2 linked regions of the Rhinolophus ferrumequinum genome follow. The protein of the gene in region 1 interacts with the protein of each later gene in a pairwise test. Links are inferred from orthologs where the notes say so. Each region holds a gene or a part of one and is shown on either strand. Other genes may lie near its edges.

What was found.
Region 2: the proteins of SEC22A (region 1) and SFTPC interact in binary tests that used the Homo sapiens proteins (3 or more experiments, as listed by UniProt). The two-hybrid records come from large-scale screens. The link is inferred for Rhinolophus ferrumequinum from reciprocal best matches to the Homo sapiens genes SEC22A and SFTPC.

Annotation. Positions count from the first base shown.
Region 1 is NC_046285.1:47,824,226-47,839,205, reverse strand, and holds the start of SEC22A (vesicle-trafficking protein SEC22a), read right to left. Parts: upstream 7,214-14,980; 5' UTR 7,108-7,213; intron 6,713-7,107; exon of another isoform or gene 6,369-6,712; intron 1-6,368. UniProt on the Homo sapiens protein: May be involved in vesicle transport between the ER and the Golgi complex.
Region 2 is NC_046301.1:44,261,914-44,276,970, forward strand, and holds SFTPC (pulmonary surfactant-associated protein C), read right to left. Parts: upstream 8,085-15,057; 5' UTR 8,056-8,084; coding exon 7,903-8,055; intron 7,721-7,902; exon of another isoform or gene 7,632-7,720; coding exon of another isoform or gene 7,590-7,631; intron 6,897-7,589; coding exon 6,738-6,896; intron 6,387-6,737; coding exon 6,264-6,386; intron 6,020-6,263; coding exon 5,909-6,019; intron 5,509-5,908; coding exon 5,371-5,508; 3' UTR 5,361-5,370; intron 5,156-5,360; 3' UTR 4,952-5,155; downstream 1-4,951. Other genes in the region: LGI3 (leucine-rich repeat LGI family member 3), read left to right, coding at 13,171-13,376, 14,273-14,344. UniProt on the Homo sapiens protein: Pulmonary surfactant associated proteins promote alveolar stability by lowering the surface tension at the air-liquid interface in the peripheral air spaces.

The sequences.
Region 1 (14,980 bases):
CAGAAAGAAAAAGAGAAGAGAGGAATAAATGGAGAAACAGATACTGGAAGAAACCATACCAAAATTAGAATAATGCTTATATCAAGGAAATAGTGGGTGATTATCATTTTAAAATTTCCTAAATTTTCATATTTCACAATGGGCACACATTACTTTTATAACCAGAAAAAATTTTTATTTAAAATAAATCTTAAAGCTAAAGGAACACTGGTTTTAATACTGTTCTCAATCTTTTTACCAGAAAGTAAAAAATAATAGCCTATTTTATTAGATTCTGGTCATGCTTTACAAAAATAGATAAAAGGACTACATAGGCCTGGGTGTGAAAGAAATCAGTCAAACTTTGATAAAACATACACAGTGGTTTTCAAATTTTAGCTTGTATAAAAATCACTGGAAGTTTAGTTAGAAATGCAGATTTCTCCTAGACAAGAAAAAGCTAAAATAGTTCATTACTACCAAACCCGTATTACCAGAAATTAGTTAAAGGGAGGAAGAGGAGGAAGGGAAGGAGGGGGGAGGAGGAACATAAAAATATGAATAAAATGGTAATAACTACATAAATATCAATAATTACTTTTAATGTAAATTGATTAAATACTCCAATAAAAAGACATAGGGTGACTGAATGGATAAGAAAACAAAACCCATACATATGCTGCATACAAGAAACCCACTTCATATCAAAAGACAAATATAGACTTGAAAGCAAAAAAAATGGAAAAAGATATTTCATGCAAATGGAAATTAAAAAAAAGGCTGGGGTAGCAATACTTATAACAGACAAAAAAGACTTTAAAACAAAGGCTATAATGACACAAAAAAGGACATTTCATAATAATAAAAGGATCAATCCAACAAGAGGATATAACCTTTGTAAACATTTATGCATCCAATGTACATGCACCTAAATACACAAAGCAAATATTGATGGATATAAAAGGATCAACAGTAATACAGTAACAGCAGGGGCCTTTAACACCCCATTGATATCAATGGACAGATCATCCAGACCAAAAATCAACAAGGAAACAGTGGTCTTAAATGACACATTAGACCAGGTGGATTTAATTGATATTTTTAAAACATTTCACCCAAAAGCAGCAAAATATATATTCTTTTCAACTGCACATGGAACATTTTCCAGGACAGACCGCATGGTAGGCTACACTCAATAAATTTAAGAAGACTGCAGTTATATCAAGCATCTTCTCCAGTCACAATCGTATGACACTAGAATAAATTACAAGAAGAAAATTGAAAACACACAAACAAGTGGAGGCTAAATAACATGCTACTAAACAATGGATGGGTCAACAATGAGATCAAGGAAGAAGTCAAAAGGTACCTTGAGACAAATGAAAACACAATGACTCAAAAATCTATGGGACACACACAGCCAAAGCAGTTCTAAGAGGGAAATTCATAGCAATACAGGCCAACTCAACAAACAAGAAAAATCTCAAACAATCTAACCTTACACCTAAAGGAACTAGAAAAAGAACAAACAAAGCCCAAAGTGAGTAGAAGGAAGGAAATAATAAAGGTAAGAGAATAAATGAATGACATACAGTCTAAAAAAAAACAATACCAAAGATCAATGAAACCAAGAGCTAGTTCCTTGAAAAAATAAACAAAATTGATAAACTTTTAACCAGACTCTCAAGAAACAGAGAACCTGAGTAAATAAAATCAAAAATGAAAGAAGTAACAATTGATACCACAGAAATACAAAGGATTATAAGAAAATACTACAGGGGCCGGCCTGGTGGCTCAGGCGGTTGGAGCTCCATGCTCCTAACTCCGAAGGCTGCCGGTTCAATTCCCACATGGGCCAGTGGGCTCTCAACCACAAGGTTGCCGCTTCAACTCCTCGAGTCCCTCACGGGATGGTGGGCAGTGCCCCCTGCAACTAAGATTGAACATGGCACCTTGAGCTGAGCTGCCCCCCTGGATGGCTCAGTTGGTTGGAGCACGGGCTGTCAACCACGAGGTTGCCAGTTCAATTCCTCGACTCCAGCAAGGGATGGTGGGCAGCGCCCCCTGCAACTAAGATTGAACAGGGCACCTTGAGCTGAGCTGCTGCTGAGTTCCCGGAAGGTTTGCTGGTTCAACTCCTCGACTCCCGCAAGGGAATATTGGGTTGCGCCCCCTGCAACTAGCAACAGCAACTGGAGCAACGGGCAACTGGACCTGGAGCTAAGCTGCACCTTCCACAACTAAGACTGAAAGGACAACTCGGAAAAGAAAAGTCCTGGAAGTACACACTGTTCCCCAATAAAGTCCTCTTCCCCTTAAAAAAAAAGAAAAAAAGAAAAGAAAATACTACAAAAAATTACATGCTAACAAATTTGACAATCTGGAAGAAATGGATAAATTCCTAGAAATACACAATCTTCCAAGGCTGAATCAAGAAGAAACAGAAAATCTGAATCAACTGATTTCTACAAATGAAATTGAATCAGTAATCAAAAAACTCCCCATATACTAAAATCCTGGACCAGGTGGCTTCACAGGTGAATTTTAGCAAACATTCAAAGAATTAACACCTATCCTTCTCAACTAAAGTTCCAACATGACTATCCAAATCATTTTTTTTCTATTCTAAAAGCAATAAAAAGAGAAAGCTGAGATCCCTCAAGGGATAATATCTATACTATAATCCCCTTTTAAAAATTGTTAACACGTTTTATTTAATTAAACAATTGCTATATTTAGCCTCAGTGTAAGAAAGTAGGCAAATGTCTTACTTCGTATCCTTAACCATTTAGTATTTAAATATAAAACTTTTGTCTTTACAGAAGTATACTGTAACACAAGGACTACTCCAGGAATTAACATGAAGGCAGGGTTGTGATCTATAGTTTCCAAACATCCATATACTTAGTTTTTAAAAGCAGACTGCACTCTTTTATGCCTGATCTTTTTTAGGATCCCAACAGAATTAGGAAGTATCTTTATTATAGGGTGCCAACTTTCATGTAATCTTCAAAGTTACTCTTTTCTTCTTTATGACTTGAAAGGCACAAAGATAAAATTCATACTTCCTAAAACATATACTGAGAAAAGAATACCAACCTGTAAATTCCATTCATTTAACATTTATTGAGTACTGTTAAAAGGAAGAGCCACAGGCCCAAAATGGCATCACTTGTGATAAATACCTATAATAACAAACCTAGATTAAATACCTAATCTAATTGCAGTTTCAGCCTCTCCCAGAAGTGGAATTTTAAACCAATCACTCTGGAATTTCCCGATCCACTAGTGAGGTAATCTGCCTGGTAAGACCCCCTGCCATTCCTTGCCTAAAATAATCTACTTTGAACTCTTTAGTTCCACCCTCTTTCTGCCTATAAAAACCTTCCATTGTGTATAACGTGCCAGACTCATGACTCGCTTAATAAAGCCAATTAGATCTTCCAAATGACTGTTGAATTTTGTTTTTAACAGTATGTACTGTGTGCCAGGGACTATGGCAGACATTAGGAATACACAGTTCCTACCATCAAGAAGCATCAGCCCAGAATTAAAGAAATTCAGATGAAAAAAGCAAACAATGCAAGCTGTGTAGCACACCACTTTACTAATTGGAAAACTACAGTTAGACAAACTTATTTCAGATATTCCTAATACACACCTTTAGGCTTGTAACCAAAATTCTTAAAAGGCTGTCAAAAAACTGTTTTTATTTATCAGAAGATAAGATTTTTCTGAGAAAAAGTCTCTTCCTCCCAGAGTCAACTGACCTCCCATCCAGACCGAACAAAAAAACCTGAGATGACTGTCCAATGAGCAATGCCAGGCTTGACTAATTTGTAAATAGACTTCAATTACCTTAGGATAAACAATTTCCCCTCTATCAACTAGATAAATATTACCCACCCTTTCTTTTTTCTTTTTACCATGGATTCTTAATGCAGTTTTTTAAAACCAAAAACAAAACCAAAAAGCTCATCTTATCTGGACTGTGCTAGTATGAAGAGGCATCTGTCTACATCAAGGCCAAGTTAGGGTTAGAGTACCCTTAGAGTCTAGGCAAGGCGGTGGTTGGGGAAACAAAGGAAGAGTCAGTGGGAACTGCGGAAAGAGAGAGGTTAAGATACTTGCCAATTAAGAGTGATAGATTTAGAGTGACAATTTAGGAGCAGAAGTAGTGTTATCAGGGCCATAGATACATTTTTATGCCACTGGTCTATTTTCCCTTACCTTTAACATAGGAAAAATATTACATATGCCTTTAGACAGTGCAGAAAACTCACAGGGACTCTGAGTACTGGCCTCTCCCCAATAGCAAATGCTAGAGGAAAAAGCCCAAATTAGAATCTAGATAGGTCTGGGTAAATATTTATGTAAAGGCCAAAGAAAAGAAACTCTCATAATACCACACCTCCATAGCAGGGGTTAGCAACCTTTTAGATAACAAGATGCTGACCTTTCTTCTTCAGAAACTTGTGGGGTAATGCCTGTGGGTCCAAGGTACCAGGAAGGCAATCTCTCAAACAGTAATAAACAAACCAAACATATAAGTACATTTTATATCTACTTTCTAGCAATATGCTTTCATAAATGCCTTTCTTTAAAGATTAAAAACATTTCATTTTGGGTTAATCACTCTTATTTTATTTTAGGTCATTATGTCCCAAACTCCAGTCATCCAAGTACCATTTTCAGAATTCTTACCATATCCGCATCCCACCTGTACTATTATGTACCTAGTATAGGTCTTTCATTTGACTTATTTATTGCCTTATCCTTAGCAATAGCATCTGTGAAATCAGTTTTGAGGTGTTAGGTTTTTCTCTTAATATAAACTAAAACAGAGAACTTTTGGGGTTTCATTCAAATGTGTATGAAAATTCTGGAGAATTTTAAAAAAATGTTCATCTGTTTATCACTCAAATTATCTTGTGTATCTTACGGTACCAAAATTTGGGAAATACTACCTTGGAACATATTTTATTAAAAGTGCTAACAGAGATCTGTGAGAATTGGGGGAGGGAGGATGTCATTCGGGGAGAAAGCTACACTTACTATACTGCACAGGGTGGGGGCAAGATTGAGAGAAAAAGGAAGGTCCTGCACAGCAATAGTTTAGCAAGAAGGCAAACAGAGCTTGAAGAGGAAAAGTGGAAAGGGTACCAAGGACAACCAGAACTTATTTTGCAACTTGCTCTTCCCCACCTCCCCCCGCAACCTCTCCAGCAGCCTTTGACACTCCTATTGCAGGTGTTTGCATTACACAGTATGTGCAGACCCTCATCTAGGAACATTTGTGTAACACATCATCATTCACAAACTGAGAGGGAGATATAATCTTCATTTTACAGATGAGGCAACGGGGGGAGGCTCCCTTTCTCAATGCCACACTGCTAATGTATGGCAGAAGTGGTGCTTAAACCTAAGTTTCTTGTATTTCTACATCACTATGCGACACCAATCTCCTAAAACCAACAAGGGGCAAGAACCCAGTGATACAGAATCTAGCTATTCATTTTGGATTAATAATAAAAGACCAGCTTACATTTTTTTAAGAGGCAGTATAGTATGTTAGCTAACAGGATGGACTCTGGAACCAGATTACCGGGGCTCAATAACTGGCTCCACCATATACTGTGTAAACTTAGGCAAGCTGTGTCTTTCTATACTCAACTTCCTCACCTGTAAATTGTGGCTACTAACAGTATCTATCTCATGGGGATATTTTAAAGATACTAATAGTATCTACCTCACAGGAACATGTAAAGAATCTGAACCACAGCCTTGCAGAATAAAAGTACATTATTGTTTGCTATTATTATTTATTGGCTGCCCTTTATTTCCCAGGCACTTTATACACATTACCTCATATGAGCCTTTCAATAACCTATGAGATAGGTTTCATCCGTTCTATTTTACTTTTGAGGAAATTCAAACTCAGAAGGATTAAATAATTTATTCAATCCCTAAACTAGCAAGTGACAGATTTAAACCCAGGCCTGACTCTAACCACCCTATGAGACATTGCCTTTCAATATATCCATGCTTCTTTCAGCTACATAGAAAGATCCCAGGCACCCCCTTTCGATAAGACCTGGGCTTTTTTCATACACCAATATAAAATATACTTAGATTTTTTAAAAAATCTATCATACACCAAAAGAAGCACTAAACAGAGATCATGGTTCTCAACATAGGAAACACCCAGATGTTCCATTAACTGAGGGTATGGTCACAGATGTCTGATTCGAATACTGAACTACAACCTTCATATACCACAAATTGTAGGTACTATTTAAGGTACTGCCTAATTCCTTATAATCTCAGCACATGAGCAAGTGCCAGTAACCAGGAATGTGATTCAGAGTTTTAAAAAGTGGCTGTTCTACCTGTCAGCTGGGATCCTAGCATCTCCCGATGGGTGGCTGACACTCAAGCCCTGGGCCCTGCATTGGCTGAGTAGGAGGGAATTTTCTCAAGCTCGCCAACTGCCCCTAGGTGGATGACCCAGGAAACTAAGGAGCGACGGAAAAGTCCAAAGCTGCTTTCACTGGCAGAGGGATTCAAGTCTGCTGGTGCTCGGCTTCCTATTTCGGAGCCCACTTCCACCTGTCAAGCCAACTGCGCAGGTCTGTCTGCCACATCGTTCCCAAAGTGCCATTAACGGGGCTATCAGAGGATTCCGAAGGCAAATCACTGGGCTCATTGCTCATTTAATTCCCACAAAACGCAAAGTAAGCCACTGAGTCAAATCCCACCCTGCCTAAAAGAAACAGGAAATGCCACGTCAAGCTCTCTGGGGCAGCCTAATGTGCCCCTGCCCGGGCTGCCCCATACCCGGGGCAGGTCAGCCAAGGGGCAACTGCCACCCGCGTGGCCCCACACACCCCGCAAGTCGCAGGGGACGAACTCCCTGCACCGCCGCCCCTCCAGAGCTCCTAGGCTCCAATGACACCCGGTTTCCGCCCCCACGGCACGGGCTTGGCTCCCGCCCTGGGTAGGTCTGTAGACACCACAGCCAGGGCCAGGGCCGTGACAGGAGGCGGGGAGCGTGAGGGGAGCGGCCAGCCAGGGGTTCGAGCGACCCCGCGAGGGAAGGAACGAGGACTGGGAAGGGCCGGGCCGTACCTGTAGAGCTGGGACCGGCCGCTCCGAGTCACGCGGCCCGCAGTGCATTGTGGGACAGGGGCGTGGCCTTTCCGCGGGGCAGCCCGGCGTCCAACGCGGCAGGCGCCCGGCGGGATCAAGCCCCGCCTTCGTCCTCTCCGCTCGCTCAGGCCAATCAGGTTCAGTGAGAAGGACACACTAACCCGCCCCTTCCCAGGGCCCAAGGTAGTCCCGCCCCCTCCAGGAGAGATTGGCAGTTTTTCACGCACCTACGTCAAGAGGTTGTTTACTTCTGTAGTGATAGAGTATGCTGTCCCTCTCAAATAAATCTAATCTCTTCCGCCTGCCTCCTGTATCTGGAGGCAATTTGTCTCTCATGCGGCCCTACAGCAAACGCTTGTCCACCGAGCGGGAGAGAAAACCCCTCTGAATGAGCGAGAACAGTTCCTGCCCTATTTACCACCACACAGGAGGAAACACCTAACCTTAGCAGAGAAATGCTAGATATCCACCCTGTGGCCCCTTCCCGTCTTTGCATCTGTCATGTATTATTAAATAAGCACTTACTGTGTACCATGTGCCAAGCACGGTGTTAGGCATTGGGTTACAGGAGTAAACATAACACCGGGTGGAATCTAAAGTATAATAGGAGCAAGAGATGTTAAAACATAAATCATTACATAATTATAAATTGTGATCAGAACTGTGATGAAAAAGTAGTGGGTGTGATGATGGGTTAATTCTGGACTATCGGGAAAGTTCTTTAAAGAAGTACCTTTTAAGCTCCAGGCATATGAAAGAGCCTTAAAGAATGTTAAAGGCCAAGGGAACATTATGTGTGAGGTTGTCAGGGCATGAGAGAACTTGGTGTGTTCTAAGAACTGAAAGGAAGTCGGTGTGATTGGGGTGTAGGGAGCAAACTTGGACTGAGAGGAGGCAAAGGCCAGACCATGCAGGCTCTTATTGGCCACATTATAGATTTTAGATGGTGTTTTGGAATGTATCCTGAGGTCAATGGGCAGCTAATAGAGAGTGTTAAATAGGGTCTGATTTACATATTTAAAAACTCACTCAGGCTGTTTGTGGAGAATGGTTTGCAAGAGGGCAGGACGGGTTGCTGGAAGGCCAGTTTGGAGGCAATTACATGAGTCAAGGCCCAAGATGATGATGTCTTGTACTAGGATAATGGCAGTAGAGACAGAAAGAGTTGGATAATTTTGAGACCTATGTAAATCAGAGGTGGACTCCAAGGGATTTAATGAATTGGTTTGCTGGGGAGGGCAAAGAAAAGAGGAGCATTAAGGACGACTCCTTAAATAACTAGATGGGTTAAGAAGCCATTAACATAGGGGAACATAGAAGGAGGACCAAATGGTTTGGGATGTGTTAAGTTTGCGGTGCTTATAAATGGAGATATCAGACAGATTTGGATATGTAAATCTGGAGTTCAGAAGAAATGTCTGGACTAATTATATAAATTTAGTGGTTGCTGGAGTGGGTTAACCCAGCAATTCCACTCCTAGATGTATATGCAACAGAAATGTATTTATATGTTCACCAAAAGACATTTATAAGAATGTTCATAGGATGAATACATTTTACAATATTCACATGGTGAAATAGTATACAGGAAAAAGAATGAACAATCTAACAACTACACACAATACATAGATGAATGTCACAATCATAAAATTAAATGAAAGAAACCAGACACAAAAATTGTATACTACATGATCCCACTTATATAATGTTCAAAAACAGACAAAAATAACAGATGGTAAAGAAGTCAGAAAAACCACAATGAGATACCACCTGACTCCAGTCAGAATGACTGTAATCAATAAATCAACAAACAACAAGTGCTGGCAAGGATGTGGAGAAAAGGGAACCCTTGTGTACTGTTGGTGGGATTGCAGATTGGTGCAGCCACTATGGAAATCAGGATAGAGGTATCTCAAAAAACTGGAAATGGAACTACCTTATGACCCAGCAATTCCACTCTTAGGTATCTATCCAGAGAAATCCAAAATGCTAATTCAAAAAAATGTACGCACCCGTATGTTTACTGCAGCTCTATTCACAATAGCCAAGACATGGAAACAATCGAAATGCCCACCGGTAGAGGACTGGATTAACAAACTGTGGTACCTTTATACAATGGAGTGTTACTCAGCCATAAAGAAAAATGAAATCTTGCCATTTGCAATGATATGAATGGAGCTAGAGAACATTATGCTAATGGAAATAAGTCAGATGGAGAAAGACAAATACCATATGATCTCACTTATATGTGGAATCTAAAGAATACAATAAATGAACAAACTAATCAGAAACAGTCTCAGAGATATAGAGAAAAAACCGACGGTTGCTAGATGGGAGGGGAGTGGGAATGAGGGAGAAGTTGAGGGGATTAGAAAGCATAAATTGGTAACCACAAGATTGCCTCGGAAATACAAAAGACAGTTTGGGGAATATAATCAATAATGTTGTAAAGATTTTGTAGGATATCCAATGGACACTTGTCTTATTAGAGAGACCACTTCATGGATGGTGTAGATGCCTGACCACTGCAATGTACACCTGAAGCTGAAGCTGAATAATAATGAATGTCAACTATAATTTTATATATATGTATATATATATATGTATGCATATATATATATAGTCACAGGTTGTGGAGTACAGCATAGGGATCAGCGTCAGTGGAATTCTAACAGCTGTATACGATGTCAGAGGGGTAGTAGATTGGGAGGGGGCGTTATGAGGGGTATAAATGTCTAACTATTACATTGTTTTTTACACCTGAAACTAAAAAAAAAAATTTTTAAAGAAAGAAAAATAAAATTTTAAAAGAAAGAAAAATAAATGGGGAATAAAAAGTCAGGATATTGGTTACCCTTAGGTGGTATTAATGTTTGGAAAGGGTCACTAGGGGCTTCTGGAGTTCTAATAATGTTCTTCTTGATCTGCATGTTGATTACACCAGTGTGTTCAGTTAGTGAAAATTCATCAAGCTGTATTTAAGATTTGTGCATTTTTTCAGTATGTATTTTATTATTCAATAGAAAGATTACATTTCTAAAATGTTATGGCCGATCCAGCCATGAATAAGGAACTAGTATCAGACCAACCTTCCTACCGCAAACAATAAAAAACTGGACCAAATCTATGAAATAAGTGTTTTCAGACAATGGACAATTGGCACAGTAAGACTGTGATCCTGGAAAGAAGGAAAACAAATAAGATGATCTCAAGATTTCCCCAGATTTCTTTCTGGAGATATTTACCTAAGCACAGGATAGAAGAAAGCCAAGCAGAATACAGTACTCTTGCTAACTGAGAAGAAAGAAATTGAAATGAAGAGAGACTGGGGCAACTGAAATTTGCAGGGCAGAGTATTAGAGAAAGAGTTCTAGAAATATGCGTAAGGGTCTCCTTGAATCGTTGGTGTAGGTTTAAGAATAGACTACATGAGGCTGGCTAAGTAACAATGACTGGATGAACTATAAGCTGAGCAACTACTAGAGCTTGAATAGGGTCAGGAAACATTCAAGTTTTGACCAATTGGAATGGCAAAACCTTGTGAAACACCTAGGGCATTTTGTACAGAGAGCTCAGAAATGCCACACTTTAGAGATGTGAACCAAAAAAAAAAAAAAGGTCCAAAGTGAAAGGCAACACGCATTTATTTGAGATCAAAAAGGAATAGGGAAGAACTGATTCACGCAGAAACCCAAATAGCGTTCAAATTAGGAGGCAAAGGCAAGGTTAATTAATGAGAAAGGGAAGGGGAATAATTACATCAATGGAAGGCATTGCCATTGTTACAGATAAGCTAACATCTGTAACAATAGAAATGTTTTTAATATTCAGTCCGATAGTCATCAGTCTGATAGCCAGTCTGCTTTCTTGTTATCCTTGCAAACAGTTCTTTGGGACACAATGAAGCTTTAGGCCCAGTCCAAAGGTGATTTTGCCCTGTTTTAACATTTCAAAAGTTTGACACATAAGATGTGCAAGGTAGTTCCTCTGGGATGACAGCTCAGATTCCATTTTAAAGTGGTTCCATATATATTTTACAGAGATAAGGCTAAACTAGCCCAACAGCAAAGGCTATTGTAGACCCACTCAAACAAAATTGAGACAGCTTATCTGCAAGTAAATTAACTTTATGCTTGAATGAAACTTAACAATCTTTAAAGAAAGACAACAAAATCCATGCACTAAATCATGTTATAACTGTAATGTCCAGTATACAATAAAAAATGCTATGTATGTGAAAAAGCAGGAAAATGTAAAGCATAAACAGGAGAAAACTCAGTCAATAGAAACAGATTCAGAAATGACAAAGATGATGAAATTAGCAGATGTGGACTTTAAAGCAGCTATTATGCATATGATCAAGAAATTAAAGGAACACATAATGAAGGAAATGGAAACTATAAAAAGAACCAAATAAAACTTCCAGATATGACCCCAATTGTGTTAGCTCCTAGGTTAGCATTTAAAGAGGTTGAAGGAAGGAAAGAGAGAAGTAACTAAAACTGTCCCAAAAGATTGTCAGACTTGTACCCTGTGTGTCTTACGGTTAAAAGTATTTAATATTTAGGCCGTGGGAAGGTGTTTGGGGATCAGTAATTGTTTTAATTTATAATACCTGGAAAGGAGTCATGTCCCAGGTTGTCATGTCCCAGAAGTTGTCTGTCAAAGGCTCTCTAGAAGTTGTCTGTCAAAGGCTCTCCAGATATACCCTAGGCCATTGCTCTATAGGTAGGGCCCGTGGGTGCAGCCCTGAGATGAGGTTGTATGGGTCCCATCCTCTGCCAGGCTCTTTCCCTGTTGCTAGTTTTCCTCTGTGCACTAGGTGACCTGCTGTCTGCAGATGGGATGCTGATCCCATGGAAATTATGAGATGGAAATTATCTTGAGATGGAAATTATCTCAAGATTGACGAGAGGTCTCTGACTGGGGAATCAGACCATGTCAGAAGTCCCCCAGAAAGAGATTCCATGTTGCTCTCAGGTATGGCCTGTGGCCACCCCAGTTCCCATTCTGCCTCCTCTCCAACAGCCAGGCCACAGAGACCTGATCCAGATCCTGCTCTCTCTTCTGACCCTACCCCATCTTCTTCTGGGTTCAACTGGGACAACAGTATATTAGTGGATTGAATACAAGGATATCAGGTAACCTAAAAGAGGTTCTCTACGAAGCAAGTGCTGTACAGGCCTTGGAAGGGCTCTACTGGTTGGCGGTGGGGGGTGGGGGAAGGAGACTTACCCTAAAGTAGTTAGACACATTTTTTTCCTTACCCCCAATTTGTTTGGCCTATTTTAAATGGGCCCAGATCTTGACATTTTCCTATTACTGTGTTTCCCGGAAAATAAGACCTAGCTGGACCATCAGCTCTAATGCGTCTTTTGGAGCAAAAATTAATGTAAGACTCGGTCTTATTTTAATATAAGACCGGGTCTTATATAATTAATATGATATAATATAATATAACATAATATAATATAATACAATATACCAGGTCTTATATAATATTAATATAATATAATACAATACAATATAATATAATACCAAGTCTTATAATAATGTTTGCTCCAAAAGACGCGTTAGAGTGGATGGTCCGGCTAGGGCATATTTTCGGGGAAACACAGTATCTGCTGAGTATATCATTATCCATGAGGGAGAAAGGAAGAGGGATTGTATTTTTCTAAGTCTGTGTTTCACACCAAAGCATAGTTAGGTATAAAAAACAACACTCCTCCCATCTTCTCCTTTCTCATACAGGGACCCATGTCATGGACTTTTCTGGCCAGATGGTAGTGACCGCTGTGGGTGTCAGCTCCCAGACTGGAATCATCTTTACTTATTGGGGGCCAGTGAGGAAGGAGAAAATCCTATCCCAACTTATATTCTCACCAATCATGTGTGCATTTTACCATATCATCACCATATCATCAGACTGTTTAATTTTTTTCCAGTTTGAAAAATGAAAAAGCTCATTGTTTAGTTTGCCATTTTTATATTATTAGTGAAGATGGTAATTGTTTTATATGTTTCTTGGCCAAGTGTGGTTCATCTTTTATAAACTGCACATTCTTCTACCTCTCTGGCTAAACAATGTATGAGTACTATTTGGTGAAACCCCCATATTTAAAAAGAAGCTTCTTCAAATATTACAAACTGTTAACCAAGGATAAAATGTTTCAGGCTTAATGAGGATTCTAATTTCCCAGACTCTTGTTTTGAATGTTTGCCTGTTTGCACCCAAAAGTTCAAAAATTAAAAAAAAAAAATTCTCCCTTTTTAAAAAAACAGACTCTCATGCCATATTTTCCAGGCAGTTATATTATCATAATCTTCCAGGTAGAGAATCAGAGCACGAAGTGTTTTTCTTAGTTAGAGTCACAGAATGATTCAGTGGCACACATGCATCTCAAATACATCATTCCATCTTATTTTTCAATTATGTGCCCCACACTTTTCTTCTCTCCCCGCCAGTCTCATTTGCTGGAATAAAGAGCCAGTTAGTATTCATAGGTTTTATTCAAACACATAAATATGTAAGTCATGAAAGAATGAAATGATCACACACAAGCTATAAATTATTTCTTGTTCCTGTTTACAAATAATGTTTTAATTACTGTATACTTCTTGGCTAAAGGAAAAAAACACTTAGAAATAATTTTCCCTCCAGCCAAAACTTAGTGAGAAATATGTTTTACTACAGTGGTGCTTGCACACAGAGAGAAACCTCAATGTGACTTTGCTGCTGTGGTTTAAGAAAGAAAAAAAGACAGGTAAACCGCAAGGAAAAGACTTTAAATTTTTATTAAAGGAGAGGGTTTTAGGTGGGGAAATTCTCCAAATCTAAAATACAGTTTCCCTAGCTGCTATAAATGCACCCATCATTTCTTTACCAGCCCAGATGGTAGTGACCTTGTAGGATAGATGGAGGGAGAGAAAAGCCTATTTCAGAAATAAGAAGTTGACTGTGTGGTATAGAAATACCTCCTCTTTAATCATTTCCTGGGGACTGAGAAATGTTACTATTAAAGCAGATAAAAATGATGAAAAATAACTATTAACATTTGCTTATTATGTGCTTAGTACTTTACACTCATCTCAATTAGTTTTTCTAGAAACTCTGTATCATAAGTATTATAATTACTATTATTTCATAGAACTAAGCCTTGCCAGACTTGGCCAAGGTCCCATAGTTAGTGACTATAAGAGTCTAGATTCAAATCCAGGCCTGCTGACTCACACGCTGGTTTTTTTTCACTGCAATGCTTTGCTGACACTTGCAGTTAGTGGCTCTGTAGTGGTGACAACAGACTGGCTGTTTTAGGCTTGTTTTCTCAGGACGTCTTAGGGATCCAGCTATGTCTGCGTATGCCGCTCCACTTCACCAGTTCAGAAAGCCAATGTTATGAGTTGATTCATCCTGGGCTGTGAGCATCCCGAGGGGAAATGTGAGTATAGGCAAAATCCACAGGTCTGTGGAAGGAGAAGGAGGCAAAGACCAGGAAAGCCACTGAGATTGGCGACAGGGATCCAGAAGCAGGACAAGAGCAGATATGCCGGCCATGCCAGAGATCATAGTGGGCTATTGGGAACCACATACTGGAGGGATCAAGGTTCTCCAGTGGCCAGACAAATGGCAACCAGGGGCAGAAAGCCTTCGCCGCTCTCACACGGGGAGAAACCAACCTGTGCAAGTCCGGAGGCCAGCTGTGAGGTAAAGGCAAACTGTGAGCTGGGGATTAGGCGCGAAGGGCAGGCACAGCATTTTGAGGTGCATTGACTGACCTATCTAAGCAACCACATTAGAGACTAAGTGGTAGGTTACTTTGCCTGGCACATCCAACTTACCTTTCAACTTAAG
Region 2 (15,057 bases), on another chromosome or scaffold:
ACTCAGGGAGCAGGGGCATTAGTGGGTGGGTGACTCATTCAGAGTGTCTGGAGGGGGAATGTGGTCTGGCTGGAGAAGGGATTGCTTTTCAGCCTCCTGAGCTTGGAACCCAGTCCTCTGAGGCCCCTTGAAGTCCAAACCTGGGCCACAAGGCCCCTGGGGTGAGGATGGTGATGAGAGTTAGTGAACTACTGGCCCACTTCCTCTCCCAAAGCAGACCTCTGAGCTGCCACCTGAGGCTGATGGAAGGTCCTGGCTGGCTCAGGAGCAGTCCCATGGGCTTTCCTTTTCATTTTTTAAACTTTTATTTTATTCTTTAAGTGTGTTTTTCCAGGACCCATCAGCTCTAAGTCAAGTAGTTGTTTCAATCTAGTTGTGGAGGGCGCAGCTCACAGTGGCCCACGTGGGGATTGAACTGGCAACCTTGTCTTAAGAGCACCACGCTTTAACCAACTGAGCTAACCTGCCACCCCCCATGGGCTTTTCTGCTTATAGGAGCAACTCGGTCCCAATTCCTGCCTCCAAGTCTCTCCCAGAGCCCTGAGAGTCACTGCCAAGTTATCAGGATAGCCAAATGGAGCTGGGAATCTCAGGAAAGGACACCTTTGATGGTTTGGCAACCTGACATACAAGAAATCAGGGCTGACTTGCAATTTCCTTGAGCAAGGGCGAGAGAGAGAAAGAGAGAGAGAGAGAGAGAGAGAGAGAGAGAGAGAGAGAGAGAGAGAGTCATGGAACCAGCTCCCAGTATACACACAGGCCAGTTCGGCATTCTGTACACTGCTCTGGTCTCACCCAGAAGATACAGGAACCTCTCCAAGGTAACGAGGGTCTTAATTTTGCCCTTCCTGCAACAGTAACCATAACTCGGAGAGTAAGAGCAAGAGGTGACCTCAAATGAAGGGGTCTGGCTATCGTGAGAGATTGCAGGTGAGCCGGGAGTCAATGGGGCTTTCATTCTCGGTCCTCCATCTGCAAGGAGGAGGAGGAAGAGGAGAGACCTGGAGAGGGTCGAGAGCAGCGGTAAGTAGGAACACCTATTGCATCCAAAGGAAGCACAAGCATACCTCGGAGATACTGCTGGTTTGGTTCCGGACCACTGCGACAAAGTGAATACCGCAATAAAACGAGCCACATGAAGTTTTTGGTTTCCCAGTGCATATCCAAGTGATGTTTACACTGTACTGTAGTCTATTATATGTGCAATGCCATTATGTCTAAAAACACCATAATGTATACACCTTAATCAAAAATACTTTAGTGCTAAAAAATGCTAACGATTATCTGAGCCTGTTGGAAAAATGGCGCCAGTAGACTTGCTTGGCGCAGCGTTGTCACAAACCTTCAATATGTGAAAAAGTCAGGCACACCTGCAACGATCCCCTCCAGCCCTTGGAGATCAGGGCTGAGAGGGCAAGAGGCAAAGTCTGGCAGGAGAAACAGAGAAAAGAGCCTGGGGACCTGAGGCTTGAGGACGTGGGTGTGGGGTCTTAGGAAGTCAGGGCGGAGGCAGGACTGCACCAGTCACGCCCAGGAGGGAGGCCTGATTTGACCCTGAATCTTGGCCTTGTCAGGCTCTCAGGCCCTCTGGGCCACCCCCAGGCCTGGCCCAGCTCCCCACCGGCCTCACTCCATCCTGGTGAAGAGCTTTCTGCAAAACTCTTGTTTGAAGTTCCAAGTCAGCCAGCCCCACCCCAACATGAAATCTGAGACTGGGGATAAAGCCCTCAGCCTCCTGCTGCTCTGAAAATCACTGCAACTTCCAACTAGTAGTGAAATACATCAGATTGGCTTCCTAACCATTCTTTAAGGCTTTGTCCCAGCCCGCCTCCTCCATGAAGACCCCCAAACCTTCCCAGCCTACTATGACCACTGTTTCTCTACCACCAGCACCACCAGAGCTGCAAAGGGGCAAGAAGCTCCTTGAGACTTTAGGTCCTTCCCTTCCAAGGTGGCACACAATGCATCTTGGTTTGCGCTGTTGGGTAAGTCCCCATGTGTTGTTCCCTCCTGGACTGTCAGCAACTTGAGGGCAGGAGCCCTGCCTTACACTTCTCTGTATCTCCAACAACATCAAGCCCAAGGCCTGGCACATATAAGGCATTCAGTAAATGCAAATCAGCTGAGTGAATAAGTGACACAAGGACAGGGCCAGAGAGACACTCCCTGTCTCTGAAAACCAAGCCTATTCCCTCAGAAAAAAATGAAGTGAGAGTGTGAGGCACAGAAAACAGGGGGTAGACAGCCAACATTTATTTAGTGCGTATTTATTATTTATTTAGTGTGTGTTAAGCTCTAATAAGTGTTTTGTATATGTTCTCATATTTAATTCTTACCACCAACTCTACGGACAGACGTATCATCAGTTCCATTTTACAGGTGGGAAAAGCAAAGGTCACAGATTTTAATTAACATTCTGAGGTTTGTACAGCTAATGCCTTGTGGGTCCAGCATTGACAGCCAGGTCTGCCTGCTTCTAAAGCCCACTCTCTGTCCACTTAGCATCACCCCCACCCCACGCCCCAAAAGAAAGATGACAGCCAACTTTGCGGTTTACCCACAGCCCAGCAGGGGTGGAGAAAAAAGGACAGAGGGATTTGGTTTCTCCTCCTCCCACAGGAAGGGGCTCCTATTCCCAAGTTTGCTGTTGTCCATTCACCCAGATAAGGGTCCCCAGGATCAAGACTCGAGCAACCTGCCCCAAACCCCTGTGCCACACACAGGCACTCCTAGAACTCTAGGAACTGTGCCACTGACTCTGGCTCTGGCTATTCAGAGATAGGCTGAAGTCAGAGGCAGGAAATCAAGGAAAGGTTCTGATATCTTGTGCCCTGTGTGTTCTCTTGTTCCAGGCAGCCTGTTCAGGGTCATCCAATCAGGCAAATAGCCCGAGTGCCTGGCTATCTGGTCATTCCAGGGGCAGGACCCCTCTGGGCCCAGCAGGAGTGAAGAGGTTACATAGGGTCTTCGTGGACAAAGAACAACACACACACACACACACACACATACACACACACACACACACACACTCCAGGCTCCTGATCTTGGCTAATAACCCTCCAGTGTCTGTGGACTGACAGAGCTGATATACAGTGTCTGAGTTCTCTGTATTTCCCCCTTTCCCTCAAACTTGGTCTTGGTGGGAGCCCCTGGCACACAGGGGCATAGGTAAGTCCCCCTCCTGTATTGGCTTCTCTGACTTTGACAGCTGTCTCCTCTGTCCCAGAAAGTTGCCGCACTGGTGGGGACCCCGGGGCATCCAGGGAGCATGATCTCAGAGGATCCCTTTCTTCTTCCATTTGGGCTGGGTGGTGGCCTCAGGAAACCTGCTCCTTGGAGATGCAGGCCACCCCATACCAGGGAGAGAGATGTGCAGTCTCAGGGCAGCCCAGACAGACAGGCTGGAAAACACTAATGTCCTGGAGCTGGAGACAGGGGAGAAGGAAAAAGTGCACACGCGCGCGCGCACACGCACACACACACACACACACACACACACACACAAACACTCACAAGAGTTTGGCCAGAAAAGTTTCCTGCAGGAGGAAAAGCCTCCTTGGCCGCAGGTTTCTCTCCGGACCCAGGGAGCTTTCCCCAGGAATCCTCTGGGAAGACAAGAGGCAGAGGCTTCCACAAACAGCGCAAAAGTTCAGTCCTAAAAGTCCCCCAAACTTCCCCTCCCTCCTTCCCTCCTTCTTTTGTTCCCCACTGCATTGCCAACCAGGCAGCTCCCGGCTTCCCACACCGGACCGTCCTCCCCCCACCCCGAATCTCCGGCAGTCCGCGCCTCCGGGCCAGGCCTCCCCGCGCCTGGCCCTCGCGTCCCGCCGGCCCCGGGGTAGGGGTGCCTACCCGCCTTGCAGGGGTCTTTGTAGTTGAGGGGCTCCCAGTCGTCCTCCTCGCCCAGGTCATAGGTGTAGTCGGCCAAGTCCAGCGGGCGGCTGGGGCGCGGGAGCAGCAGCAGCCCGAGCAGCAGCGGCAGCTGCAGGCGGGCCACGCCGGGCATGCTGGCGGCGGCGGGCTCGGTGGCGTTGGCGGCGGTGGCAGCGGCGGGTCGCGCCCGGACGCGGGAGCGGGCGAGGGGAAGCGGAGCGCTGGAGACGAGGGGGAGGCGCTCCCCTCCCCGCCCGCCGCTCTCCCCGCCCGCCCGCTCCCCCCGCGCTTACCACCTCTCCCCTTCCCTGCGCTCGCCGCCCTCCTTCCTGTCCCCCGCCCCTTGGCCGCCCGCTCGCGGCCCGCTCCCTCCTCCAGTCTCTCCGTTCCCTTCCCTTCTTTTTCTCCTTCCTTCGCTCCCGCCCTCCCTCCTTCGTCCCCCCCTTTAGGGAAATGAGCTCGCTGGGGGGCGGGCTCTCGCCCGGAGATCGGCCTCCTGGGGGCCGGGACCACGATCCGCCGGCCCGGGCGGCGCGCCAGCCGGGGCGGGGAAGACGAGCAGCCGGCCCGCACCGGGAGGAGGCTCGGGCGGCCCGGGCGCGGGGCGCGGGCCGGAGAGGGGTGCGGGCCCCGGGGTGCTGGCGGTGACCGCCCCCCCCAGCTGCCCTCTAGCGGTGTTTCTCCCGCGCGCGCCCGGCCCGAGCCCCTCCCGGTGCGGGACACGCTGTCAGGTCGCTCGCGCCGCCTGTGCCTCGCTCTTTCCTTTGGTCACGACCCGCGCTTCTCAGCCTGCATCTCTCGGTCTCTCCCTTGCTCGGATCCTTGCTCTGTCTCACTGCGGTCCCTGTCCCTAGAGTTGTTTCTGTCTCCCGCCCTCTCCCGGGAGACACCACTGGAGGGCGCCTAAAGCCCGTTGATCGCTCCCAGGTCCCCTCTCCCCACCATCACCCTGGGCCAGAAAGAGTGGGAAAGCCACCTTTGCTCCTCAAGGCCCTACCCTCCCCTCCCCCCCACCAAGAGCAGGACCCCGGGACTGTGGGAGGGGAGAAAAGGGACACCCTTTGTTTTTCAATCAGGATGCTTTATTCTCTTGTGGTAGGAGCCCTCTGATCCCTAGGAGCCACCTCTCATCGGACTGTTCCCACCTCCCACCTCTCCCCACAGATTCCCATTTCTCTAGGGCCAGTTCCTGTAGTGTGTGTGGCAGGAGCAGCTCCCTGCCTGTCTGCAAAAGACCTTTTGCTCATGGATCTTTCCTGTCCCCTTGGGGCTTCCGCATGCCCTGCAAAGCAAAGAAACACTGTATTATGTGAGGGAGAGGGACTGGTGGTGGGGTCGGGGGGCTTGTCTGTGAACCTGCCCTCCCTTGAGCTCCCTGGGTGATCGGCCTCAATGGATTCCCGTTCCAGGTCAACTGACAAGACAAGGTGGCCCAAGCCCTCTTGGGCCACTGCTACTCCCGTGCCCTGGAGGTCACACCTGCTCACCTGAAGGATCCTAGATGTAGTAGAGGGGCACCTCACCACACAGGGTGTTCACGGTGTTGCCTAGGAAGTCCAGGTCCCCATTGGATGCTGAGCCAGTGTCATGGCCTTTCTCCTGGCTCAGCTTAGCGGGAGGCACTTCAGGCTTCACCTGGAAAGTACACCTTATTTGGTGCCTGGGAGCTGAGTTTCACCTGTGGCCCTCGTTGTGGGACCTCAGGCATGTGAAGCAATCTCTCTGAGCCTCAGTTTCCTCACCAGTAAAGAGGGGTCTGTGCTGGAGTCAGAAGCCCCTATGTGTGGTGTGGGCTAAATTGAGGCCAGCAGCTTGGAGGTGGGGTGGTGGGGCGGGTCTGGGGAATGGGTAGGGAAGGTGTAGAGCAGGTGAGTCTGGAGAGGGACCCTTCCCTGGCAGCCCCAGAGGAACAGCACTTTACAGGGTCAGAACTTGACAACGTGCTCCCAACTCCTTGTGCCACACACAGGCGTTCCTAGAAGTCCCAGCAGCCTCGGGAGAGAGACAACCCATTCCTTCTCGCCCTCACACCCACCTGGAAGTTCTGGAATTTCCTAGTGAGAGCCTCAAGACTGGGGATGGCCTCCGGAGCCATCTTCATGATGTAGCAGTAGGTTCCTGGTGCCGGCTTGTAGGCAATCAAGAGCTGGGCATAGGAGCCCCAGAGGTAATTAGGGAATGAGCTAGGCCCTGTCCTGGGCCTTCTCCCTCTAGGTTGGGCACAGGAGGGAGTTATATTGGAATTTGGGGCTCAGGCACCCCCAGGGGGTGCAAAAGCACTGGAGTATGGGGAAAGATGGGTGTGTATGACGTAGCACAGCTGGGTGGATCTAGCAAAGTCCTGTCATGGGTCCCCTGGGGCCAGGGTCAAGAGGTCCAGGCACACTCACCCGCTGGTAGTCATACACTACAATGCCAGTGGAGCCAATGGAGAAGGTGGCAGTGGTGCCCACACGCTCACTCAGAGCCAGGCGTTGCTGAGCTTCCGGCCCCGCAATGCTCATCTCCAGGACCTGGGGGAGGGCACGGCGCGGCCTGGCATTCCTCTTTCCCCACTTGTCCCTTCAGTACTCATGCCCACTCTCAATCCCCTATACTCAAATGCAATTCCTTCTTCCCTGAGAGCTCAGAGAGGCTGAGTAGAACCAGGTGCTGGAAGGAACAGGCTGTCCCCAGGTGGGGTAGGGGTGAGGGGAAAGCCCAGGCCAGGTTGGCCACCCTGCTTCTGCCTCTGTCCTTCCACGAGGTGCCCCTTGCCTCCTCCTCTCATTCCTCTTGGACAGTTTGCTGCCTACCCAGCCCCCCAAGCCAATCTGTCTGGCATGCCCTGTACTTCCTGCCCACTTCCTCCCAGGCCTGCTTACCATCTCAGTATGTTTCTGGCTCATGTGAAGACCCATGAGCAGGGCCCCTACAATCACCACGACGACCAGGACCACCACAACGACCACGATGAGAAGGCGTTTGAGGTGCACAGGGCAGCAGGGGATGCCCAGCCGGCCCCGGGGGGCTGCTGAGTAGTCCTGATGTGGTGGGGTGGGGAGGAGACAGTTATGAAGTCATGAGGACACCCCTTCTCCCTGCACTAGCTGGACACCCTCTCACGCCCTCCCAGGGCTGAGCAACCTATGCTATGGTCGTGCAGAGGAAGGATGAGGAGATCAGAGGAGGAGGTGGCCTGGATTCCAGCAAACCAACAGATGCTTAGAAGTGAGGTCTGGCTTGGAGAGACCCGAGACAGCCTATTTCACTAATGATATTTCCCGCTGTTTCCTCCAGACCCCTGGTACCTCCGCCACGCCCACTCCCTCTCTGTTCCCCAAACAATTCATGCTCTCTCACACCTCTGTGCCTTTATACCTACCGCCCTTCTTTCTGAGTGCCTTCCTCCTTCTCCACTTGGGGAGCTCCTGCTTATTCTCCTGGAGTCAGCTCGAATGTCATTTTCTCTGTGGTTCTTCCTATGACTGTCCAAGCAGTGGTTTCCTACTCAGTGCCCTCTACAGCCCTTTCCACTGACCTCTGTGGTGCCATTCAGCCACTCATATTAGAATCATCGGCTGCCATGTCTATCTCCCCCAAGGACTCTGTCATAGTGATCGGTGTCCCTGCTCTAACTTAGCACAATCCTAGGTCGGTTAAGCGAATAAATTTGATGGGGAAATAAGCCCAGAGAGGCCCACCACACACACGCACACACACATGTTCACACTCACCGGTGGGCTCTCCATCAAGACTTCTTTGCTGCCCACATCCATCTTGCTGCAGGCACCTTCCCCTCCTCGTCTCCTACGTCTCCTATGTGTGAGACTGGGGTTTTATATGTGCCAGGAGGGAGAGGGGACAGAGGTGAAGGGCCCAGCAACCATCTGCCAGCCAAGCCCTCAGCTTTGAAGCCTGTTTGTTCCTGGCCCTCCAGAACCACGGCCCTGATAAGGCAGCTGCAAGAGCACCTAAGGGCCCTTGCTCTGGCACGTGAGTCCTCTTAGCCCTGGCGAAAGCAAAGCTGGGTGAGTTGAGCAAACTTACCCTTGGGCAATCTGCACCTCTCACCGTGGGTATCTTCCTGGCATGGCCACTTTTCTTGCTGGCACCTGTCCTTGCAGTCCTGTGGCTTTCCCTGTTCTTCCAGGCTGTACCTCTCAGGCAGCCAAGGGTCTGGCCCAGTGGGAAGTCCATCATATTTCCTACAGGATTAACCCGAGCATAGGGATACGCTTCAGGAATGGGAGTGAGGAAGCAGTGTCTGTGGCCCCAGATCGTGCACTGCTGAAGGCATCAGTATGGAGGTTCATAAATCATTCATAAGTTCTCTGGGAGCATTCAGATTTTGACCTCAAGTACTCTACTTGCTGTCTACCACATTTCCTTACCTAACCTCAGACATGCCCCCAGCTATTCTTTTCCAAATTCTGAAAACTCTGTCCCCTCCAGTTACAAATTCTTACTAACATGAGGTTTTCCATTCTTTGCTATGGGCTTGTTTGTTTTGTTTTTTTCCTGCTTTTATTTTATTTGCATTTATTTGATGCTGAATTTATTCCCAGGCCAACGTTTTTGTTTCTTCCGTTTCTTCTCCTCTGTGCAACCTCCTCTTCTGGTTTAGGAACAATCTGCTTTTCTCCAGTAAAGATCATCCCACTGTGGCAGGGGGAACTCATGTAGGGGTTCATCCCCCAAGAGTTCTATAAGTTCTGTACCTCATCTTGGGAGCTTTGTTCACCTGGGGGGTTCATCCCCCAAGAGTTCTATAAGTTCTGTACCTCATCTCGGGAGCTTTGTTCACCCGGATGTGCTCCATGACCAGAAAAATCTACATCTAAACCCTCAGCATTCCTCACTACATTTCTAAGCATGTGCAACAGAAGTTCTGCACTCTTTTTGGGCCACCGACCCTGCATCCAACCCCACTGTTTGACCTGGGCACACCTACCAACTCCACCATTGTGACGACAGAATGGCGCATACGGCTGTCAAGTGACATCCTTTAGATACTTGGTGGCTTTTCGGACATACATACCCTTGATGGCCTGGGCAGTTTCATGAGTGTTTTTTAAAATAAACACAAAGACTTGAGCCTCTTGATTTGCGTGACTTTGTGGGGTGTTCTGCGTCAAGTGAATGGCAAACCATTTTCAGAGCTCAAACTGAAGACGTTTGATTGCAGATTCCACACCTGACACTTCTTTCTTCTGTCCAGAAAGCCTTGCACCGGGCTGGGTGTGGTGACTGATGGGCTCCCAATCTCTTCACCCCTGAATCAGCGCACTTCCTTGGTGCTGCCATCACCCTTCCCTTCTGCACTCTTCCTTTGACATCCTCTGATCCTAAATTTGCCTGGAGAACACTACTTGCCCAAATGGGATCCACTCTGTGGACCTTCTCCTCCCCTCTATCTCTTTCCTCCTCCTTCCCAAAGCCATCGCTGTTGCTTCGTTGTGCTAAACAAGCCTACTGATGGCTGTATCCTTTCTCTCAGGTTCCCCTCTGCTTGCTGGGACAGGTGTGCTCTGTGGCACCTTTAACTCTAAACTTTCCCAAGTGTGTAAATCAGAGCCCCACACCTCGCTCTTCTCTTGGCCTCCCTCTAGTATCTTCCTTATACCGTAACTCCAACACTTCATCCCAATTCCTGTCCCTTGCCCAGGGGCTCCCTCGCACCTTGGCCTTGCCCTTCAATCCTGAGCAGACCCCCAACTCTTCAGCCCTGGCAGGTTCCCCTGTCCCCACAACAACCCCCTCTCCAGCTGGAGGGCCTTCAGCCTCCAGATTGCACAACAGCATGGCATCTGAGCTGAGAGCCCCTGAGAAGATTGGAGAAGGAGAGAAGGAAGGAAATGTTTGCTCCCACCACCCACCTCACTGCCCCACCCCCAACGGCCCCTTTAAATATTTGCCTAAGCCTCTAGCAGCCAGTGTCCTAGGAGGAGTGAAACAGGGGGAGAGGGGTTCATGGAGGAGGGGGAAGCGGCCTCCTCTCAGTGTGCAGCCTCAGCTGTGTGCAGGTGCCAGAGGCAGAAGACAGCCCCCAGAGCCCCCACTCCCACCCCCAGTTGTCCTGGCAACACTGGGATTGATCGCTGACTCACACATACTGGGCCTGCGCCAGGTGGGCAGCAGGCCAGCGGGAGGGCCAAGGATAACTGCAAGCATCAGGAGGTCCCTGTGGGCATCTCGGGGACTGCCTAGTCCAGCTGAGGAGCTTGTTCTGAACAGGTGCTGTTGGCCGGGCTTGCCATCATCACAGGGTGTGGGAAAGGGGGCTCTTTCTGGGAGAGAAGCCTCGGTCCTCTCCGGTCCTCAGTCTCCCCTGCAGGCTGCCCTTAGGCTGTGCTTCTCATAAGCTTTACAGTTCTTCCTTTCCTTTCCTTTCCTTTTCCTTCCTTCCTTCCTTCCTCTCGTTTTTGCCTGTTTGGAAGTTGGGAAGGAAGGATGCCCTCCAGTTTCGTAAGGGAAGTTCAGATGCTGCCAGCAACCTGGTAGAGATCTTGGGAAATGTGGAGAAGGAAGGAGGGAGGGCGCTTTAGCTGGTCCTGCATAGCTGTCCCTTTGCTCCTCACACTAGCCCTCTACTGCAGGCTTCTCTCTTCTTGTCCTTTACTTAGGCCGGTTTTCCCTTCTGGAAAGCCCACCCTCAACACCTCTCCACCTCTCTGAATACCACCCACCCTAAAAGGCCAAACAAGAACCAATAGCACCTACTCTGTGACCTTACCGCCCCAGCCTACAGGGTCCCATCCCTCCTCCAAAATCTCCCAGCCTCCCTGACACATGTTTACCTGCCACTTAACACTCCCTGATGGTCTCATCAGCTATGTGGGTGCTTTTTGTTGCCTTACCTACTCAACCTAGCTGCCAGCCATGAGACTGGCCCTGGGATCAAGCTTTCCTGAGGATTCTTTGTACCTGCCCCAGAGCAAGGAGCCTGCACGCACCCAACGTGTAATTATAGTCAACGATAAGGCTATCCCCACACATGTGGGGGCTCGTTGACAAACGGTCAATAGTTCATTCCTTCAGTATGTGGAGGACTCGGTGATTCACTGGCCTGCTCTGGGACCCTGAATGAGACATCCTATCTTTCTAGGCTTTAGAGTACTCATCTGTGAAATGGGACTAATACTGTCTGCCTGTCCCCAGCTCCAGGCTGTTGTGAGAATCCAATGACATCATGATGTGAAAGTCCATGATTATCACTATTTACTTCAACTCCCAGGGCAGGTCTTACTAGAGAAGGACCCTACTAAGAGTAGGACCCCGCCTCCCCCTTTCTGTCTGTCTCTGGGTTAAAGCCTCTGAGAACTGTGGCCGTGGAAAGCCCCACAATAGCCCCTCCTTCTATGTGTGTCTTCCCTGTTTCTCCTTCCAGCCCCTCAGCTGCAGGGGCGGGACAGGATTCACTCTGCCCTTTGTGTCCTGGGCAGAGCCGTGCCAGGGACGAGTGGAGATGGTTGCCCAGCTGCCCCAGCCACCGTCCCCACCCCCATTGCTTATCTTCCCACGAGCTGGCATGGGGAAGGCAGCACGGGAAGCTGGATGCATCAAAGGGCCAGGGCATCCCTGTCTGGCAGAACATGGACTTAAGTTCAGACCAAAGAATCCCCTGCTGGCTGATGCTGGGGTCAGCTGGGAAAGCATCTTAAACCCGGTGATCTCGATTTCCTGGACTGATGTGTAAAGAGCACCAGACTGGGAGCCCAATCACCTGACTTCTAGGCTCCCCTTGTTCTGTACCTGGCAGCTCTTGGGACAGTCACCCCCTCACACACACACACACACACACACACACACACACACACACCATACACCCACACCCCAGGGAGGTAACATGGCATAGAGCAGCAATTCTCAAACTTTTTGGTTTCAGGGTCCTTTAACTCTCTTAAAAAGTATTGAGGACCCCAAAGAGCTTTTGTTTATGTGGGTTATATCTATTATTTACTGAGAAATTAAAAAAATATTTATTCATGCGTTAAAATAGCAATAATAAACCCATTACATAACATAAATAACATAAAGTTTAAGTGAAATCATTTTACAAAGCAAAAAAAATTAGAGAGAAGAATGTTATTGTTTTACATTTTTACAAATTTCTTTCATTTCTCGCTTAATAGAAAAAAATTCCAGGGTACTTTGTGAGAGCATGAAAGTGAAAAGGGCAATAATGTCTTTAATAGGAAAATTGTTTTGACCTCAAAGAGTCCCTGAAAGGTTCTCAAGGACCCCTGGGCTGCTTGGGCCACACTGAAAACCCCGGGTGTGGAAGAACAACTGTTAAGCCTGGAATTGGGCAGAGTGGATTTAAACCTCCGCTCTGTCACTTTTTTCCCCCTGGTACTATAAGTCTTACTTTTCTGTAAAACGAGATCAATATCATCTGCCTCAAAAGGTGGACAGGAGTAAGTAAGTAGAGTCCACAACACATAGTAGGTGTGATATCAAGCTTGGCTACTTTCCTCTTGGTTCTGGCCTCAGTTTCCTCATTTCTTAAACACAGGGCTGGACTGGGAAACTTCCAAGGCCCTTCCCAGCTCCAACAGGCTGTGGTTGTGCCAGAGAAATGTTCCAGAATTCCACACATTCCCACGCCGGCTTCAGTGATGACATTCCCCTTTTCCGCTCACACAGACACAATGGCACATTATGTTCATGAGCTGTGGAAACAAATGTGAGTGCAGATACACACCTGTCACTTACAACATGCCCATGAATCTGCTTAGAGGACGTGTCCCTGAGGGCAAGGCATGCACACGGGGACACCGAGGCACACACGTAGATCCCTAGTGCAGAAATGCCTCACAAGGGGATCTGTTCACGGGCCTGCAGAGACAGGTGTGCACGCTGTCCTGCCATCTAGGACGCACATGTATATCTCGCACACATGCACAGACGCTCTGGATGCCAGACACAAGCAGATGGCCCAGAGACCTCCGGTAGGGCATGCAGCATAGGGCGGCCAGGGCCGCAACCACTCCCTTCGTTGGCTACTCCCAGCCCGGGACTCCCCCCACCGCCCTGCGCGCCCCCGCGGCCGCCTCCGCAGTCCGCAGCCATCCCAGCCGGGCAGCCCTCTGCTCCGCTACTCTGCGCGCATCAATCCGAGTCGGTTCGCGGGAGCGAGCAGGGGAGAGGACTGCAGCCGGCACCTAGAGCTAGAGGAGCCCGCTCTCCGCAACCGGCAGCCGGGCCCCTCGCTGCGGCAGCAGCCGCCGGTGGCCAGGCGGTGCCAGCCCGCAGAGTGGCAGAGAGCGGTGGGGCAGGGGCAGCCGGTGGCCGGAGGCAAACCTTGCCGGCAGCATGGCGGGGCTGCGGCCCAGACCCGGCTCCCGGCTGCCGCTGCTGTTGCTGTCCACGCTTGGCTTCTGCCTGATGCTGCAGGTCAGTGCCAAGAGGCCCCCCAAAACGCCCCTCTGCCCGCCCAGTTGCTCCTGCACCAGGGACACGGCTTTCTGCGTGGACTCTAAGGCAGTGCCCAGGAACCTGCCCTCCGAGGTCATCTCTCTGTGAGTGCCCAGCCCTGGCCTGGGTGGGGTGGGGGTGGGGGGGGTGAGCCAAGATAGGGAGGAAGGCATGAACAGCTCTGGGAGTGGATGGGGAGAACCCCGCTTCCCCGCTTCTACTGAGCGTGGAAACCAGGAGGACTCCAGGGGGGTCCTCAAGAACTGGAGGTTCAAGGTACCAGCCAGGCGGGGAGTCCTGCAGTCATGCAGGCTCAGCAGCCACGGCTGGAGAAAGCAGGAGTTCATGGCCAAAATGAATCACCACCAGCAGCATCAATGAGACCTACTATGTGCAGGGCTCAGGATTGGGGAGACAGGAGGGGGTTGTTTACTCTAGCATGTGGGCCCCTGTCTGTGATGTCACACCAAGGGCAGAAAGGCTTCTAGTGGGGGGAGGGAAGGAGGCAGCAGGGGAAGGGGTAGAAGTGAGATGCACCCACACAGCACCCTGGCACGGGGCAGACACCTGCCACTGGTCTCACCAGCCACTCTGCACAGGGCCAGCCAACCTGTCATTTGCAGCAGCAGCCTCTGGAAACAAAAAGAGCACAGTGCTAATCCCCCCACTCCCATCCCAGGGTCCTATCGCTCAATAGCACCCAGCGTAACTGTGGGTGTTTGGAGGATGATGAAGGTGTGGGTAATGGAACCTTCTTTTGGCTGAGGGGGAAGCTGAATCTGCGGCCATTGGTGCTCAGGGAGGCCGTCTGGGTGGGTGATGATGAAGGCAGGCAGTGAGGAGAAGGGGAAGACAGGCCCAGGTGGAGGGCCAGGCTGGCGAAATGGCGAGTTTCCAGAGCAAGTGCCTATAGAAACCATTGCCCTGTCCACCATGCACCCCCCCACCCAGCACAGTCCCTGCATACTCCTCACAGTACTGATTCAGGTGTCCCCTGCAGGACGCTGGTGAATGCTGCCTTCTCAGAGATCCAGGATGGAGCGTTCTCCCACCTGCCACTGCTGCAGTTCCTGTATGGACAGGGCCTTGAGGAAGGCGGGTGGTGGTTTGGGGAAAGGGGTGGGCAGTGGAAGGCGACAGATCCTGGATTGGGGAGAGGAGAACCCATGCAGGTAGCCTTTGGAGATTCAGAGGCAGGTGACCCTTACATGCCCGATGGAATCTGTCACAAAAGGTGGAGCAGCCTAGAGTCAGGAGGGGTGGAGGAAGCAGCAGTTGGGGAGAAGGGCAGAGGTCTCATGCAAAAGCCAAGAAGTGGGTGTTTGGGGTCCAGTTAGGAATGGAGACCCAAAGGAATAACTTGGGTTGAGGGTGGACACTGCAGGGGAGAGGGTTCATATTAAAGACAGGTGAGCCCAGGATGTGAAGAAAAACCAAACAGAAGGAAGACCAGATAGCCTGTAATTCTAAAAGGGGCTGTTTACATTCAAAGCCCCAGTCACAAGAGAGCATACCTGGGAGTTACCCCACCTCCTTCTTACCATCAGTCCCAGATGGAGGGGTGGGGAATGGGGATAGGAGAGAGAGAGCAGAGAGAACCAGTGGGGAAGGACCCAGCCTGCCCGCAGAAATCTACACCGACTGTTTTTACCCTAGGAGCAAATGGGGACCCTGGGAGTTTCTGGGACCAGAATAGGCTCCTGCCTGGTATTGTTATCCAGGCTGCTCTGGGGTTCTCTGCTGGGGTCCCGAAGGTGGGAGGCAGGGCAGCCAGGCCTTGAGGAA